Linked DNA regions of Coturnix japonica. The protein of the gene in region 2 interacts with the protein of the main gene of each other region in a pairwise test. Links are inferred from orthologs where the notes say so. Each region holds a gene or a part of one and is shown on either strand. Other genes may lie near its edges. The genes, in order: CAPN3, OSGIN1 and BCAR3.

What was found.
Region 1: the proteins of OSGIN1 (region 2) and CAPN3 interact in binary tests that used the Homo sapiens proteins (3 or more experiments, as listed by UniProt). The two-hybrid records come from large-scale screens. The link is inferred for Coturnix japonica from reciprocal best matches to the Homo sapiens genes OSGIN1 and CAPN3.
Region 3: the proteins of OSGIN1 (region 2) and BCAR3 interact in binary tests that used the Homo sapiens proteins (3 or more experiments, as listed by UniProt). The link is inferred for Coturnix japonica from reciprocal best matches to the Homo sapiens genes OSGIN1 and BCAR3.

What each region holds. Positions count from the first base shown.
Region 1 is NC_029520.1:22,999,462-23,002,669, reverse strand, and holds the end of CAPN3 (calpain-3), read right to left. Parts: intron 2,740-3,208; exon of another isoform or gene 2,721-2,739; coding exon 2,652-2,720; exon of another isoform or gene 2,483-2,651; intron 2,134-2,482; coding exon 2,055-2,133; intron 1,549-2,054; coding exon 1,432-1,548; intron 1,065-1,431; coding exon 1,006-1,064; intron 891-1,005; coding exon 864-890; 3' UTR 617-863; downstream 1-616. UniProt on the Homo sapiens protein: Calcium-regulated non-lysosomal thiol-protease. Proteolytically cleaves CTBP1 at 'His-409'. Mediates, with UTP25, the proteasome-independent degradation of p53/TP53.
Region 2 is NC_029526.1:103,762-107,419, reverse strand, and holds part of OSGIN1 (oxidative stress-induced growth inhibitor 1), read right to left. Parts: intron 2,930-3,658; coding exon 2,793-2,929; intron 2,442-2,792; coding exon 2,250-2,441; intron 1,917-2,249; coding exon 1,825-1,916; intron 1,277-1,824; coding exon 286-1,276; 3' UTR 1-285. UniProt on the Homo sapiens protein: Monooxygenase catalytic activity. Involved in regulation of cytokinesis; promotes RHOA activity, probably acting locally at the midbody in late cytokinesis.
Region 3 is NC_029523.1:12,008,103-12,011,346, reverse strand, and holds the end of BCAR3 (breast cancer anti-estrogen resistance protein 3), read right to left. Parts: intron 2,618-3,244; coding exon 2,408-2,617; intron 1,739-2,407; coding exon 1,551-1,738; 3' UTR 651-1,550; downstream 1-650. UniProt on the Homo sapiens protein: Acts as an adapter protein downstream of several growth factor receptors to promote cell proliferation, migration, and redistribution of actin fibers.

The DNA.
Region 1 (3,208 bases), on a different chromosome or scaffold from region 2:
AGAAGTTCTCCTGATAAAGTCTGGCCTCCATGCCCTCTCTGTGCACATACTGGTTTTTCTATCCATTTTTGTGCTGATCACTGATTGACCAGTTCTGGAAGCCTGTCAAGCTCACATGCTTTGCCAGTGCATTTGAAGTTAGCTGACGTTTGAAGTCTCATGCTGATTTCATGCTTGTGATAAAACTATACCAGCTGCTCTAGATCCTGAAGAATGGTGGGACGGTGCTCAGCATTCATTCCCCTTTGTTCCTTCAGAAATTACACCCTAAAGGTCAACATTAAAACTCAGTTGATTTATTTTCAATTAATTATGCTAATAATTAATAATTATTAGCATAATTATTATTATTAATCAATAAGTATGCTAATAATCTTCCTAAAGTGGCAGCACTGGGGTAAAGTATGTACGATTCTGCTAAAACACCTCTTAAAATAAATTATTAACAAAGACTGATTGCAGGGTGGTAGGAGACACCTCTGACTTCCACAGTTCAGATCCAGATCCAGACTCAGTTTTGCCTGATCTGTACTGACTTCAGGGATGGCGCTTCCAAGTGTCAGTATAAACAGTAACAATGCGTGCTCTGTGTTTTAAACATGCAGAGAGACCTAAATGCAGTCATCAATAAATCAGTCCTTGCTGTTGAAAGTAAATGTCCCGGAGATACTACATAAGTAGGTACAGGGAATGAGCGCCGATTTGCTTGCTGGAGCACAGCTGTCTTTTTATTCTTTCACGCACATTTTATCTTGGTGAGCAAAATCACGTATCTTGCAAAATACTCGTTTGTAATTGGGGATGGATGGAGTTCATTACTTCAAACAGCAACCTGGAGCGGGTCCTTGATGAAGGCTCCGGTATTAGGCGTACATGGTGAGCTGCAGCCACTAAGGAAGAGAAGGAGTTAAAGATCAGACCAACCTGAACACGTGAGACTGTGCTGGGAATTAATAATGTAGTACTGGGATGTTGTGTTAGAAATACTGGCACAAAGTAGTTTACCTCCAGGACGTTGAGCTTTATGATTCCATCTCCATCTTTATCGAAGGCATGGAATGCCCCTAAATCAATGACAAAAAAAAACCAAAAAAACCATAGGATAAATTATTGTACAAGCAAAGCGTAAAGATGATCCCATGCAGCAAACCAAATCATGTTCCCACTGTGTTATCCAAATATATGTGCGTGTTTACTTTTTTGGTCAGCACATATTTCTGCTATGCTTTTTCACAGCTAATACAAGAAGATATGTAATGGCTTATTATCTTTTGTGTTTGTGTGGGATGGCTGTCATAAATTAGCACATATCTTACACTATTAAAACTATGTGTAGGCAATAGTGCTATGTATAATAAACTCTCCTTTAAATATCAGTGTGTTTTCAGGCAGGGGAAGGGGCAAGCCTGTAAAATGAGGGCAGCCACTCACTGAACATAGCGTCCAGTCTCACAAAGCAGCAGATGAAGCTGTCAAAGTCGATGTTCATGTTCTTGTCAGCATATCGCATTGTGATGATGTCGTAGAGCTGGTTGTTCAGCCGAAACCCTGAGGGGGGACCAGAAATGGGTTTGATTGTTCATTATACAACAATAAAGAACCCACAGCTTAAATGAGAGCAAGTAGGTAATTTTGGTGGGTGACTGCATCATTGGAGATTAGCCTGCACACATCTGAGCTCCCTGATGCACATCCCGTGTGCTCTTAGTACAGTTGCACAAACATTACACAAACTCTGCTCAAGTGAAAAGGGTAAAACTGGGCAAGTGTGGGCACTGGCTTAGTACTTATTTGATTTTGATCATTTATGAGACTGAGATGCCATGCATTATTCACTGAGAAGTTCAACGATCTGCTTAGTTGGTGAGACACACAAGCCTTGCACTTTGGATATATGAGAGCTTCTGCTAGCAAAAAAAATACAACCCCAAAAATTAACATTTCTCTAGGACCCATCCTTAGAAGGCTGGGCTGTATTCCTGACCTCACCCTGTGATACATCAATCAAAATAAGGTTTATTTGGCTCTTGGGCATTGGACACTGAGGGAATTACCTGCATCATTGACTGCATTGCGCATCTCATAGCTGTTAATGGTTCCTGAATGGTCTGAATCGTAACGCTTGAAGATTTTCTGCAAAAAAGAAGTACACAGCAGATGTCAAAGTTTATGCTTTCATAGGACACACCTGCTGATGTGAGCTTTGCCATTTGCCTTATATCACCTGTGGCTGCTGCTTTGTAGTCAGTGTTGTTCACACACAGCTCCCCCTCATTCCTGACACATGAATTAGATCTGTGCTGTGAGAAGAAAAAACTCTTCCCTCTGGAGACCCTCCTCATTTGACTTGAGTTTATGCTGTTAATTCTCTCTTAATTGCCCTAATTAAGCTATTGCAATGCCTGGCTCTATTTCCCATCCTCCTCCTCCTCCATCTTATGTACCTCCCCCCTTCCCAAGGGGATCTCCTCACATGAATGCTGTAGCTCTAGGTGTTTGCTTAGGCTAAGAAAAGGCTGAAGGAAGATATTAGTTTTCATGTTAAAAGCTAGTTTGCAATTTTGGGAGCTTTTTTGATTGCAGGGGACGCAATGAGGTCTGGTATCCCTACACAAGCCTTTGCGCTGTGGAGCCCTGAAGAGCAGCACTACCTGCCAGCTTTTGATCTTGTCCCAGAGGTGCCGGAACTCATCAAAGTTGATCTTTCCTGAGCCGTCTGTCTGTGATGCAAGTATTCAGGTAAAAAACCCAATATTTTAAATAGAAAACTAATTATTTCTATGTGTGCCTGTGAGGGGGGGATGAGTATGAAACTCAGTTCAGGATGCCTGAGTGCTGAGAGGAGACTGAATGGTGTAGTAAAGTGTTGGTGAGCACTTTGGTTATTAAGAGTGTTATTTTGTTTTGGGATTATGAAGCACTGTTTCCTTTTGTAGTAATAAATCACTAGTACAGGCAGGTGACTTGCTCCTGGAGCTGTTATAATGTACATAACACAGAGTGTTTTAGTGGCTTTTTCCAAGTGCCCCCACTGGTGAAGTTCCCCTGGAACTGCTTAAGATAACTGAGCTTTATCTTGGAATGAAGTTTTTTCTGCCTTGCTATAATGAGTTAAGAATCAAGCAAAATGTTGGCTAAAATAATTTACTGAACTGTGTTCAGCATCTAATCATTATGGTTCTAGGCTGTAATTAGAAGTTGGGTCTGG
Region 2 (3,658 bases):
GCATTCACTACCTTACCCTCCACTTCTCCAGGAGGAAGGTTCAGTGCCCCTGCTGCCTGCATACACAGCCATGTAGAAAAGGAGCAGAATACCCTGGGAATGAAGTTACTGCCATGAATGAAACTCTGGTGATGTAACCTTTCCAAATAACTCAGCAAGAACTTAGTAACTGCATAATCCTGAAGAATGGCAAGAGTAGCCTTCTCATTTAAATACGTGCATATCAAATTCTCTGACATCAGCAGTAACCCATTCAGACATTGTTAGCATAGGTGGCTTTTGTTGTTATGGAGGATTTTTGTTTGCTTTCCTTAAGAGAGAGCTGGCAGCAGCCAGAGCCCCTCCCTGTACAAAGCGTACAAAGTTATCTCCAGCTAGAGGCCCTAGAGCATAAAGCCCTTTCTCCTGAGTACATTCATAAGTGAATGGGTCAACATCTATGGGATTCCTCTTGGGATTGACTGGTTGGTCACTGTCCATCGCCAAGTCAATGCCATTATTCAGCAGAAAGGAGAGGTTGGGATTTGAACCAGTTAGAACAAGAGCCATGGAAATTTTAAAAGCTTTCTGGCAGCCGTTTTTGTCTTGAAGGATACATTTCTTGTCCTTGCCAAAAGATAGAACATGGTGCTCAGGCAGGCTAACGTAGCACTCATAGGGCCCAGCACAAGCAGCTGACTGTTCCTTCATCATCTGATGGACTTTGTGGTATTCAGGGTACATCATTTTGGGTAGCTGGTTAAAAATAAGACCTGGATCGCTGACTCGTCTCCGAAAAACATGAATTACTGGAATACTGCAGTGGTGAGCAAAGAGAATCGCATCAGCAGCTGTCAAACCAGCACCTACAATCAAAACTGGATCTGATGTGATACCAATACTGTTGTTTTTCACTGCTTCCTCTAGGGCAGAGAGCTGGTGATGGACATAGGAAAGGTTCTCTCCCTTGACCCTGAGCCAAGTGGGACTATCATACGTTCCTGTAGCTAAGACCACATTCTCTGCATAGACAGTGAAGGGCTCCTTGTCACCTTTGACAGTTTTGACAAATCCATCCACCTGAAAGACCTCCATATTCTCCTCACTGAAGTTCCAGAGCAAGTCACTCTTCTGTAGATCTTTCTGTGCGTGGTTGGAGATGCTCTTTGCACTTACTTTCCTCACAGAGGTTACAACAGTCCCACATCTAAAGTTCTTCTGCAGCCCTTTCTTCACTACATAATGCTGGTAGTATTGAGCAATGTCTTCTGCTGTGGCTCTATGGTTTCTGAGGCCCCTGCAATATATTACAAAGGTCAAGCAGCAGTTAAGTAAGAGCCTGGAATTTCTTACTTCTTCCACTGAATGTATCCTAGAGCTATCTAATCCGTCACTACTACAGGAGGCTTATCTATTTTCCCTGACTTTAGCTAAGTTATTCCCAGTATACAGAGCTGGTAATCAGATTTGGAAGCTGCTGGACAGAGGAAAATTTTTAATACAAATTCCATCCCTAAGAACATGGTCACTCATTCACTCTTTTCTCACATGTATCTCACTGCTATTCCACTTTCAATTACTAGACTCTAAGGCTTCAACAGTTACAGAGTAGAAGCATCTGAGAAGCTGTGGAGTATCTCAGATTATTGTATTTATCATTAGGGTCAGTAGCAGTAGCTGTAGAAGTCAGACAGTTCAGAAGAACTCATAGTCTGAATACTCTGAGTGACCTTTCAGAAGAATCACCCACTAAAGATAGGCAGCTGCATTCAAGAAGTCCAGCCCACTCCAAGTTCCCAAATAACATATGGATGCTTGCAAGAAATCAGACCATGAGTATCTCACCTTTTCTTTTGCTTTAGCCAGTCCTTGAACTGGAGATCTGGGAGTCCCATCCATTCCCCTCTGCTCAGGGTAATCATGGAGCCCTCAATAGACTGGAGCAAGAAACAGTTAAAGGGCATTCAGTTATTTAATGTAAGAAGCTAAGTGTAACTCAAGTTTCAGTATATCTCACAACAGAAGAAGCCAATGATTTCATTAGATGCATTGGCATGGATGAAACCCCCCATTTTCTCCAAAAAGAACAATTAACTGGAAATATAAATGCCAGTCCTGTTCACCCTTTTAAAGCTCTTACACCTCTTTGTACATGCAAAATCAAGCATGTGTGAGTAGCACACTGGAGTACCTTCAACTCTCCAGTCAATGCATTTGGCTATTTTATAAAATACAGTTGTAAGCAGTTAGTTAGGTTTTGGTTCACATACATGCCAGGCACCTCCTGGAGGGTTCTTGCCAAGGACCAGGTGGGAGATGGCTCTTTCAGTCTCGTGCCTCCAAGTGAGCACAGATTCTGCACTCACACCAAAGTCTGTATCAGGTCGCAGAAGGGTATCAAGCAGAAGAGCCACAGGGCTGTTGGATCTTCCCTCTAAACCTTCAGACAGATACTCCAGATCCTAAAGAGAGATAGATCAGATGCTGTGAATGCGTGTCCTGTCAGGCTGCAGACTGTTTATAACTGCTATACTTCCAGACACTGTTTTTGGAGTTTTGTGAAGTTCATTTAATTGCATACAGCCCCTGTTACTGTTTGAGAACTTTCTTGAGGATCTTAGCAGTGCTGGCACTTCACACAAGGGAAATTTGGACAACTAGAATGCTTTGCTTAAGACTCATTCTGTCTGAGTGTGTTCTACACACTCTGAAAATTCAGATGAATACATCACTTATAATAAACCCCCCGAGCGCCTCACTATGTTGATAAACTAACATCTTCTGCTAACAAAGTCATTTTTCTTTATACAAACCTGGTCCAAAATGGACACATCTGCTGCCTCTTCTAGTTTACTTTGAAGAATGGGATGAGGATGAAGAGAGTGTCTTTTGAAGTAAGGTGTGTAGCCTGTCAGCAAATATGAGAGGCAGATTCCAGAAGGTCCATTCCCTGAAGAGACACAATGGAGATGTTTTTTTTTTTACTCCTGCAGACAGTACAGCCCTTTAAGAAGTGTTTTAAGCATCTTGACCAAACCAAAGGTTAAGATGCACACTTCAGACACAATCCTTTGTATTTTCAAGCTACAGATAACCCATCAGACACAGCTGGGGAAGTCTTTCTGCCCTCACATATCCCCTTCTGCTCCCCAGCCTCACCTGAAGCTTAAAGTCTCTGGCCTGCTGACAAACTCAGTCACTGCTCATCAGCTTTAAAGATCTGGAAGCTGGTCGCTTACTGGAATCAGCCCCAGTCTGTACTGCAGGCAGTGCGTTAAGGAAAAAAGCCTGCTGTGCCAAGAGTGCCTCAGAATATAGTACTTCTGACTGGCTGCAGGATATCTGACCTCCTCCTGCAGACAGTGGAAAGACTGCAACTGCAGAGCCCAGCAAGAGCAGCCTATGGAAACTTTTCACATGGCCGTCCTCCAGCACGTTTAATATTTCACAGTGCCTGGATGACAAGCCGTCAGCCTCTGGCTCACAGCTGCTCACAACGGAGTGACTAACAAGCATTACATAATGCAGTAATGATGGAGGGGAGGGGAGCTGAAGTGACACAGCAGCCTGCAGTGGGTCATGTTGACACAGTGCCCATGCTGTGTGTGTGAACCACTTGAGCAAAGGCCACTTCTCCAGGCAGCAGAGATGGGGAGGCTTGGGCTAACAGCGAGCTGAG
Region 3 (3,244 bases), on a different chromosome or scaffold from region 2:
GCTAATGGGCCTGTGGTTTGCCTGGCTAACAGCCGTCAGGTCAGTAACGACACTTCCTGGGAAAGGACTGAATGTTCTTTTTACACTACTGTTTGTTTTCCTCAAACCAGGATTTGCTTCCCTTGAAGGCAGGTTGCTTTCAGTAGGGATAGCGCAACTTGTGGGAGGGTTATTAAGCATAGGAAAAAATGCATCTGTCCTTGCATAGCTAGTTATAAATCACTTATTCTGAAATTCTGAATGTGAGTTGTCTAAAAGACTTGCCTTTTCCAGTAATTCTTAATCTTCTTTTTGTGCACAATGTTGATTTCCTAAATGTTAAATGCTTTGTTTAAAGTTAGTGTTCTCTGTTGAGAATATTTTCATGGAATAAAAAATCTTTTCATGGTTTAAAAAATTAGCTTCAACCTTTTTCTTAAGATTGACAGGGAGACTTGGCAGCACGATGACGTAAACAGGAGCTCTGTTACCTCGCGGTGTGGTTGTAGAACCTCTGCAATGATTGTAGATGGAGGGGAAGTGATTGCTACCATCCTGGTACTGGTTGGTTTGCTCATTTGCCTTCTTACCCTATTCCAGTTCTTTTGAACGCTGTAACATTCCACTCCAGAAACAGGCTTATTTACAGTGAACAAATGCAACTCTGTAACTAGAATTCTTGTCTAAGTATTTATACCATCTCTGAGAATGCTTATACATCACATCTGTACATGTACATGACAATATAAAGAATGCTTCAGCAGCAGATACTATATTAACACTGTGCACTGATTATCTACGAAAAGTACTGACAAGTAACTCTTCATCCAAGAAAAAAAAATACAAGTACTGGTTATTGTGATCCACCTCAGAATGCAAAGTAAGTTTTAATATATACATGCACTCACCTTTACTCGTATATGAAAGCATTTTAATTATCTAGGTTGTTTGTTCTTGCCATTTCATCATTCATTTGGTGGCAGCAGAGCTGTCCAGCCTCCAGCAAAAGTTAAAGTGCTACACATGCTGTCTGGAAAAAAAACTATGAACTGTCCCAACACATTCACAACTGATTTTCATTGCTAAAGTGAAATTTGAGCCTTCTTGCAGTCACAGATCATTTCTTCAACTATAATATGCAAATTATTTTGCATAAAGATATACTTTAATGCACAATTCTGTACATAGTGTTTTATACCCAGTTAAGGAGTATTATACAACCCATATAGTTAATCTGTCACTTTATTTACACTATTTGCTTCATTTAAATATAATTATGATGCAAATGCCCCTATTCTTAGGCATTATCAAAATTTATAACCTTACAGAAATACAGAAAGCTACAGAAGTACTTTACAGTGATGACCTACCTGCATAAAGGGATCATTAAAAGTTGTAGTGACATAGGAAATAAATAATTTGCTGTAGAAGTCAGTAGTTCTAAAACAAGTGTGCATTGTGCAATTAGAAGTTCTAAACATCTCGTGAAATGCAAGAAGTTTGTGCAGTATCAAATTACTGAAAGCAAGCTACAGTTATTTCAAGTGTATCTCTTCATAGTGTTTACAGTCTTAGATACTTAATTGTTCCACCTGCTTCACTGGAGGAGGTTCCAGTTTTCGGGAAAGTGCAGATAAAATCTGGCTGAACTTCTCGTATCTTTCGCTCTGATTAACTTCTGCTCCTTTGCTGCCCCAGAGCAATCTCATTTGAAATTCTGTCTTGAAGATTTCACTCATCTCTTCATCAGGCTGAAAACCTATAGCGAGTAAAAAGAATCCCACAGCATCACCATCGAGCAAGTTTTTTACTTGGAAGAATTGCCTCTCAAATTGCATTCCCTGCAAATTAACAAGAAGCTTTAGTCCTGCTCTGTTTCTTTGCACAATTGTTCTAACGAGCTAGAAAAACAATGACAAATTTCAGCGTGTTACATTCTAGTAGCACTGGGATGGCTGCAGGTATGCTGGGATAAGCTCTCCTTTGCTCAATTCAATTGTGAGTACAGTCATATGAAACTAATTAATTACTGATGTGTACTTTTCTTCCCCCTCTCAACTTTTTCACTGCAATCTTAAATTATGAAAGTCACATTACTAACAAACTGCTCCTTTCTAGCTGCAAGCAGTCAAGAGCTTTGTTTTGCATCTTAGTCTCCTGGTAAAGAATCTCACTACAGTAGATGGCGTTTTATTTCCAAAACTCAGTGCACATTTTAATTGTACAGGAAGCAATGAGTTTTCCTTGATTCTTCCTGTACTTACATTCAGCTAGCGAGTTTCCTGCAGGACCTTTTCTTCTATATCAGCTCCCATGAAAGCTGAGAATAATTTATTGCAGTGACTGCTCCTTTCACTTAAGATCCTTTTTTTCTGACATAATGCACAAGTTCTGTTAATATGCAGTTTCTCCTGCAGATGCTCCCTACCTTCCAGCATCCGTTGTGCAGTCAAGCTGTACAGTTCTGCATTCTGTGCTATCTGACGAGCTGCGGTCAAGTGCTTGAACATTATTTCACAGCTTTGGTCAGTGCTTTCCCACAGATCCATCCCTTCAAAAATGACAGCTTGTCGCTCCATCAAGGTAACAAGAGGCATCAGCAGTGGCAGTGTTAGGTTCTGTGGAATGCTGACCATCTCTAGAACAGAGGAGAACAAATCACATCATTCAGTTAACATTTTCATGTCTAAGTATTGTAAATGCAGTATTATTTTTTCTAAATCAGAAACTGGCATTTGTCTTGAATCTTATAAAAGTAGCATCTCACCTCTGATATATTCTGTCCTGCCAGTTTCTAGTAAGTTGCTTGGCCTGGGGGAAAGGGCCAAGATAAGATAAACCACAGCAAGTACTGTGGGACTAAAAAGTTTGCTATCTCTGCTTGTTCTCTTAGCCACAGATGTACGGAGAAACGTCTCTCTCCCTTGCACCCCTATGGAGATCAGAGCTGCTAAGAGCACCTGATGGAGCCATCAAAGCAATTATGTGGCTCTTACCCAATCTTTATATTCCAAAATTCATCCCCTGATCCAGTAGGCAAAGCACACAGAAAACAGATCTGCCCAAAGTAACTTTCCTTGTAGAGTGAGAGGGAGATTTCTATTCTCTGAGCCAAGATTTTGCACAGTTATTCACTCTATTGGTTTCTGCTCTGCATTTTCCATAAAGAAAGAGGAGGGGCTGAGCAGACAATGTTATATTTTGCATGGATGCACACATACAATCACATACATACTCATGTTTTGCTTGCACACTGCTTCACTGT